2 linked regions of the Cricetulus griseus genome follow. The protein of the gene in region 2 interacts with the protein of the main gene of each other region in a biochemical or structural test. Links are inferred from orthologs where the notes say so. Each region holds a gene or a part of one and is shown on either strand. Other genes may lie near its edges.

Region 1 (4,278 bases), on a different chromosome or scaffold from region 2:
AGGGAACCCAAGTCCAAGAAATCCACTAACCTGTCTCATAACTTAGAAACTATGCTCAATTGACATAAAAAACAATAGCTTAGTGGGTCAGAAAAGCTTGCTGTCTTTACAGTTAACTGTTGAAGTACAGAGAACAAGGGGATTATTAGAATCTAAGAACACTTACGTTTGTATCCCCCAGCAATGCCAGACTGTGTTAGACATCTCTGCAACTCATCAGCATCAATTTGTCCATCCTTATAAAACAAAGGAAGAGGAATCATGATGGTAGTTCATACTTTTAAGTTCTTAAGTGACAAGGACAAGAGAAAGGGATATCTAGCATTTTTAAAGGAATGCCTTTCAAAATTGGATACTCTTCTCCTTACCCTAATTCCAAAAGGAATTTGATGAGAGAATATTTGTTATGGCAAACAGTCTCCAATCAGTTTGAGCCAAGAAACTACCAAAAGTAATCATTTTAAGATACAATTAGCTTTGGAATTGTTTAAAAACATATCCCTCACCCCCATTTTGAGAGAGAAAGTAAAGTGTACAGCAGATCTTTCAGGCATCAGTAAATACAAGGCCTGGTCCAAGGAGCAAGAAGCTCTTGGATGAACTTAAGACTTAGGACACTGTTTTCTGAGCACAATTAAATGTAGAAGATACATGGTAGCTTCCTAGACCTTCTTATTGGCTGATTGAGGTCAAAACTAGGTCTGTTTCTCTCTCTCTCTCTCTCTCTCTCTCTCTCTCTCTCTCTCTCTCTCTCAGGGATTTTAAATAAAATACATAAATCCAAGATGGCGAGATCCACCGTTATAAATAAGGAACAATAATTTGAAATTATTAATGATGAATGTGTGGAATAGAGGCCAGGGCTGCTGAAAGCCAAGTAGGCGGGTCACTTACATGCCAGAGACACCAGCAATCTAAGAATGCTAGTCTTGAGGTGTGCTATGTCTTGCGGTTTCAAAGACACAGATCAATAACAGATTAAGTAGATACTTGAGAGGAAAGTCTCCCAGTCTTTGACTCAATTTTCCATTCAAATTCTCAACGCTGTTTCTTAGAGTACCACTTCCAAAGGTGACCCGAGGGTTTATCTACAGCATCTTTTTTTCTTTTCCTTTTAAATCTTGATTTCCTTCTTTCTGGCTCTTGTTGTTAAAACCAGTCTAAGGTGAATAAGCAGGGATAAATATCCCCTCTGGATATGTTGGGTTACTCAACAGTACATTTACCAAACACAGAATGACCTTGCAAGCTGGGCAAGTGTCCTTCCTCATAGCTGCCACAGACTGTCCTATAACTCTAAGGGAGGGAGGTGGGACTTAGGACTTGTCACTCTGTGACCTGAATTCTTTCTCAGGGTCAGCAGGCCATAATACCTAATAAGGACATACAAAAGCTAGCAGAGGAAGACCATCTACAGCAGGGGTAGAGGTCACCTTCCAAATACAGACAGTAATTCTAGTGCCTGGACGCCAGCGGCTCTTTAACTCCTAAGGGGGTAAATGACTAATTATCAAATCCAACTGAAAGTAGGTGTCCATCATAATTGGGCTACAGAATTACTAATCTAATACAGGCCTTTAGGTTGGACAAACAGAGGTTTTACGTTTAGAACTTGAACTTCTTCTCTGTAAGCAACCCTTGCTCTATCTTGATAATACAGTTCTAAAGGCATCTTTCTACTTCATAGACCTTCGAAGTATATTTACAATCCCCTTTTGGGTCAATCGAACCCCTAGTTCCAATCACAAATTTCGATTTGAACTGATCTAGCACGAATACAGGTATTCTCTGTCCAACTTTGTTCAGGATTGAAGTAAGAATGTTTTAGTTTTCTGTTCTTTTTTCCTTCTTTTGCCCAGGCAAAGGGATTCAGTTCCAGGATGAGGTAAGCGCTTTTAGATGCCATGCACTAAACGATGACACCAAGAGATAAAACGATTCTTCAGTATTGTACAGAAAGGGCTAACCTGTCCAGCCACAGCAGCGAAGTAACCATAGAGCGGATCCTGAGTTTGTCCGGGGAACGAAGGCCCTCCAGGAGCTCCTCCATACTGTTAGAAGGAAGTGGAGAAGCATCAGAACAGATTCCAGTTTGTTCTTTCACCCGCAAGGCTTTGGCGCACAGCACAGCAGAGGCAATTGCTGTCTGCCTGCCTGTATGGACTTCACAGCATCTCCCCCCCATGACCTCACACACAAGGGCAGCGACCCACCCTGCTCTTCCACTCCCGCTCCATCCACATTTAAAAGCTGGCGATTTGGTCCAAAATAAGTCTCCACGAAAGTGATGCCACAATATGCGAAGTCACTTAAAAATCTCTATTAAGTAGGGGGTTGCAGAGGTGAATGTAACCGAGGCAAACAATTTAGCAGCACGCAAGGCTCGGGACTATTTTCCTGTTGCTTTAAACAGCTTTTACGAAGTTTTAAAAGCACTTGCAGTACTAGGTAAGGTCGGAATTGGTACAGGGTTGACAGGTGTGCTCTGGGAGGAGGAAGGGAGATGGCCCCGCTGTATCTGAGACGAGGGTCCTTCAGTCTCTGACAGTACATCCCTAACACCTGGCGAGGTGCCCTTCCTCTAGGACCCCTGTTCATTTCTCAGGACTTTTTGGACTCCCTGTCACTTTCTTTTCAAGTGAGTGACAACAAGACCATTTTAGATCAATATGGCTGTTGTCGCTTTGGGGGCATAAGAGAGAGAGAGAGAGAGAGAGAGAGAGAGAGAGAGAGAGAGAGAGAGAGAGAGAGAGAGAGAGAGAGAGTGAACGCACAACTTGCTCGGTGAAGTCACCGAGTGGGCTTCCGGAGTCGCAGCTCACACACCCGTTGGCCGAGGAGAGTCCCTAGGAAGACAGAGGGCTGAAGAATGGATTGGGGCCGAGTCTGCACAGCAGGGACCGGGCGAGAGCGCGGAGCATCTGGATCTAGGATCCGCTCGCAGCGCCTCCTCCCGCGCGTCCCTGGTGCCCTCTCGCCCGGGGAGGAGCGAGGCTGCGGTACCCGAGCTCTGCACTTACCCCGCCTGGGTAGTACCCGCCGCCGGCGCCAGGGTGCCCGGGATACGCCATGGTGAAGACTACGCCTCTGCCCTGTACCTCTGCTACTCCGCCCTCCCTGCCGTCCGGAGCCGCCCTGGAGCGCACCACACCGCCCCACGGGGGGCGGCACCCGCCGCCGCCACCCACCCGGGACCGTCCTGCGCCACCCCGCGCGCTGCCGGCTCTCTGCGGCCTTCCGTGCTGTGCCAGCGCCCCGCGCGACCCTGTCGCGGCATGACCCAGGGCCCCAGACGGGGTTCACACCGGCACTCGTTCTCCCTCCCGGCCTAGTGGCACATTCCGACATCAACGCACCGCCCCCAGGATTTTTTTTTTTTTTTTTTCCTTTTCCTTCTTCCTACTGTGCTGTTTTGTGGTACATTTGTTATTTTACACGGTTGTTGGACAGGGCGGGTGGTGTAAGAGCGCTGTGCACTATTGTTAGGGAAAGGTTGAAGAGCACCTCCAATGGGTGAAGGAGACACTTTAAAGTCAAAATAGAAAAACACCTTTGAAAACAGGATGAAAACTTCAGTACTGTGCAAGGGGGCGTTTAGCTTAGAACCAGGGTGACGTGTTTCTTCGCCAACTGTTAAGCTGGGTGTAGCTGGTGTGATTGCTAAGTGGGTGGAGTGGGGTAGGCAAAGGGGACATTTTCTGGGCAGGACCGCCTCACCCAGATCATTCGCAGAAAATTGATGTATTTTTCTGGATGATTCAAATAGAAACACTGTTCAGGTGAACATTACTTACTGGAAAGGATGTGTAACTCACTTGGGTTGTTCAGGAAACGTTTCACAGTTTTCGTTTTCGCTTTTTGGTATAAATGAAACAAGAGAAAAATCGTAGGTTCGCCCTTGACAGTTAAGGATTAAACGCTGGGTTTCTGTTGGTCTTAATCTTTCCCTCTGTGGACCAGGCTCTCAGGCTAGCCCAGAACTTGTGGCCTCAGCCTCCCGCTGAGTCATCGTGCCTGCCTGTTCTTCTGATTTTACCGTTTTGAGAAACACTCTAATGGACAGGATTGACCATAGTGTGAATCCACGGTTTGAACCACCGGATGACTTCCCTCAAATCCCCTTTTTGGATAACATGAACTCCAAAAACAGAAGTTCTGAGTAGTGAGAAAAATTCTAATACTCCTTATTGTCACATAATAAAAACATGACGTGTGGCTTTCCTGTCTGATTCTGGAGATAAAATTAGTTTTCAAGTACTTTGGTAGTCAGTCCAGGTG
Region 2 (3,815 bases):
TACAGAACTAAGTCTCATTAATAAATACAAAGAAATCTGTTCACTGCATTCTGTGCTGTTCCTCTTACCAACGAACAGCAGTATTCAGGGAGCTGACTATTAGTGAAGTATGCGGACTGGCAAATGCTCAGGTACAAACGCATGTTCCCTCCACTAACATATACATTTATACTACACTCACCTGGCACATGGACACGAGGAGACGTTCAAAATGTCCTGAGGTATCTGACTTAATGTCCTTCTCAAGGTCTCGTCCAAACTCTGATTGATAACATCTAACAATGTCTCGAATTTCTTGATTTGTTCTTGTGCATAAAATCTCTATCAATACACGTTCTTGAGTTCCTGCTCCCTATATGAAATGAAGGGAGGGGGAATTACACAGAAGCAAAGGGAGGTCTCTGAAGATAATTAAGCTACATTTCAGATGACACAATATTTTGCCTCATCCATCATTGAAAATTCAAAACTATCAAAATTTGTGAGGCTTAATATATTAAGCAATACAGAATAATCATAGAAAATAAGATAGAGTACCTGCATTGCTTTCCTTAAACTCCAGGCATCATAGTATGTAGAAGGCATGAACAGGGCAAGGATCAATTCTTCCATATTTCCACTCAACTCTGACTTGAGATCTTTAATTAAATCCTGTTTAATAACATAAGAAAATTAAGTATTAAGTACATAAGATCTCTCTCTCCTCTCTCTCTCTCTCTCTCTCTCTCTCTCTCTCTCTCTCTCTCTCTCTCTCTCTCTCTCTCTCTCTCTCTCCTCTCTCTCTTTCATTTTAGAAACAGGGTTGCTCTGTGTAGCTCTGGTTATCCTGAAACAGCTTGCTCTGTAGATCTGCCTGCCTCTGCCTCCCAAGTGCTGGAACTAAAGGTGTGTACCACCACTGCCCAGCTAATACACAGGGTTTCTATATCTTATCTCACATGACATTTTTTCCTTAATTTTTATTTTATGTGTATAGGTGTCTTGCCTACATATATGTCTGAGCACCAATACATGCCTGCAGTGCCTGTGGAGGTCAGAAGTAGGCACTGGATCTGCCAGAACTGGAGTTACATAGGGTGGTGAGTCACTGTGTGGGTACAAGGCACAGAACCTAGGTCCTCCGGAAGAGCAGCCAATGCTCTTAACCATTGAGCCACCTGTTCAGCCTCACTTGGATCTTATGGAAAAATGAAATGGAACTGCCACTATGAAAGTCAAAATTTCAAAACTGAATGTGATATACTAAGCAATGAGTATTAAATTCAGTGATGAATTCATTGTGTCTAGAAACACATAAATCCTGAGAATGAGTAAATCTGTTAAATTTGGTGATAAAGTCATTGTGTCTATAAACACTTAAATCCTTGATACAGGTCTTCTATTATACGAGATACAAAGACAGAAAGTATGATTAGAAAAATAATATTCCAAAGCAACAAAATGAAGACTAATGAGATTCTGAGTAGGTAAAAGATATTTGCTAAGTATACAGTCAGAGTACAACCCTTGGAACCTATATGGTGGAAGGAGAGAACTGACTGCTCATCTCCATACATGTATGATGGCATGTGTACACACACGCACACATGTATACACTCACCTGCACAAAATAAATGAATATTTAAACAATGACAAGCAGATATTTACTTAGTGTAAGGAACTATTTTTGGTTCTATAAAGAAATAGAAATCACTATCATCTTGATCTCATTGGAAAGATAAACATCTAAAAAGATAATACAAAGCAAACTGTACTCTAGCACTATAGTGGTTTGAATGAGAATGGTTCCCATAGGTTCATATATTTGAATGCTTCATCCTCAGTTGGCGGAACTGTTTGGGAAGGATTAGTAAATGTGGCCTTATGGAAGGAGCTGTGTCACTGAGGGTAGGCTTTGAAGTTTCAAAACCAGGCTCAGTTTTGCTGTCTTTTTGCCTCCAACTTTCAGATAAGCTGTGAGATCTCAGCCACTGCTCCAGCACCAGGCCTGCCTGCCTGCTTGCTGCCATGTTCCCCACCAGGATGGACATGGACTCACCCTCTGAAACTGTAAGCCCCAATAATCTCTTCTATAAGATGCCTTGGTCATGGTGTCTCTTCACAGCAATAGAAAAGTAACTAAGACAAGCACCAAATAACCAACACAGAAACAAAGACCAGGTGACATTCTCAAAGAAAGCTTTTAGAATATAGGAAAATGAGCTGGATGGTGGTGATTCATACCTTTAATCCCAGCACCTAGAAGGCAGAGGTAAGAGGATCTCTTCGAATTTGAGGCCAGCCTGGTCTACAGAGTGAGTTCCAGGACAGCCAAGGCTACATAAAGAAACCCTGTCTCAAAAAAACAAGACAAAAAACAAAACAAAACAAAACAAAAAAAACAAACAAACAAAAAAACAGGCAGAGGGGAAGGAGAAAGTTATTAAGGTAAGAAAATGGACCACACACAAGAACAGAGCTAAGGTTCTCAGTAGTACAATTATCTATGTATTATTTTCTTTCTTTCTTTTTTTTTGAAACAGGGTCTCACTATGTAGGCCAGGCTGACCCTGAATTCCTGATTATCCCACTGTCTCAGCCACTTAAGTACTGGAATTATAAGTGTGCACTTATAATTCACACACTCCAAGCTTTACAAGAATTCTGAGTTTTGTGTTGCATAATTAACCTTAAGAAAAAAAAAACAGGACTCAGCAGGTGTCTAGTTTTTTTTTTTTTTTTTTTTTTTTGGTCAACTTGATGTTTGTCACTCAAAAAGAGGAAACAAGCACACAGAAGCATAAAAGACCAACTCCATTTAATTATACCATAGGGCACGTTCAGCAGAAATTAGAGGGTGGAAGGTGACCAATGGGGAAGAAGAAACAGGGACTAAGTAAGGAGCAGATCTTGTGGGGGCCATATCCATTGTTTCCTGAATGACTAGCACACACAAGACGCATATGAGGAGAGGTGAGGGACTGCTAACCCTGGAGTCTGTGAAGTCCATTTATCTGTCCTTTTCTCCACAGTATTAGTAAAAATATAGTGCCCATTCTGACATGGACACAGACCCTATAGAACAGACCCAGCCGCTTCTCACTAAAAGGGAAAAGACATACCTTGCCATACATGGTCTTAAAAGCTGTTTTAATTTGTTGCCTCTGGTCATTGGAACGGCTGGACACAACATCCACAATTGCTTGCTCATCTGTCCCTGGAAGATTCATAGACATATTTATATAAGGATGAGAATGCTTCTAAGGCAGTAGGTACCAGATAAAACTGAGGTGCAAGTTGACACAGGACTTCGTTTATCACACAGCCTCACTTTCTTTACAGTTAGGAAAAGACAATGCATTCTCCTTACCAAATCCCTTCATTGCTTTGCGGAGAATTTCTGCATCTCTCATAGCATCAAAGTTGGAGGCTGCTCGGATTGTCCCTTGGGTGCCCTGAGTCATCGCAGCAGGCTGATAACAAAAGAAGTATAAAGTTCTGCTTGGACAATAAGTCGAACTGAAGACTTCACCCAGACATATGTATGCAGGACTATGAGCATTTATTACCAGGCCTCATTTTGAAGTGACAGACATAGCCCCCTTCCAAACATTATTTGTCTCCTACTAACAGAGAGCCACACACAAAACTTCCATGAGACATGGGTAAATTGTGAAGCTAAAGTCATAACCTTCTTATGCCTTAGCTTCCTTTTTGACAGAAAGGGGGAGGTAAGAGATTGACTTCTCAGACAATCAGAGATGAATAATAATGTTTGATTTGAAGATAAGAAAAAATGGCATTATTGAAGTACACATGAGTGCCCAAGTGAATTT

Evidence for each region.
Region 1: the proteins of Anxa7 (region 2) and Sri interact in a biophysical measurement, tested with the Homo sapiens proteins (2 studies listed by BioGRID and IntAct, with this or other methods). The link is inferred for Cricetulus griseus from reciprocal best matches to the Homo sapiens genes ANXA7 and SRI.

The regions. Positions count from the first base shown.
Region 1 is NW_023276806.1:186,791,982-186,796,259, reverse strand, and holds the start of Sri (sorcin), read right to left. Parts: upstream 3,094-4,278; 5' UTR 3,072-3,093; coding exon 3,021-3,071; intron 2,055-3,020; coding exon 1,968-2,054; intron 237-1,967; coding exon 167-236; intron 1-166. UniProt on the Homo sapiens protein: Calcium-binding protein that modulates excitation-contraction coupling in the heart. Contributes to calcium homeostasis in the heart sarcoplasmic reticulum. Modulates the activity of RYR2 calcium channels.
Region 2 is NW_023276807.1:200,519,217-200,523,031, reverse strand, and holds part of Anxa7 (annexin A7), read right to left. Parts: intron 3,453-3,815; coding exon 3,350-3,452; intron 3,197-3,349; coding exon 3,102-3,196; intron 652-3,101; coding exon 538-651; intron 353-537; coding exon 182-352; intron 1-181. UniProt on the Homo sapiens protein: Calcium/phospholipid-binding protein which promotes membrane fusion and is involved in exocytosis.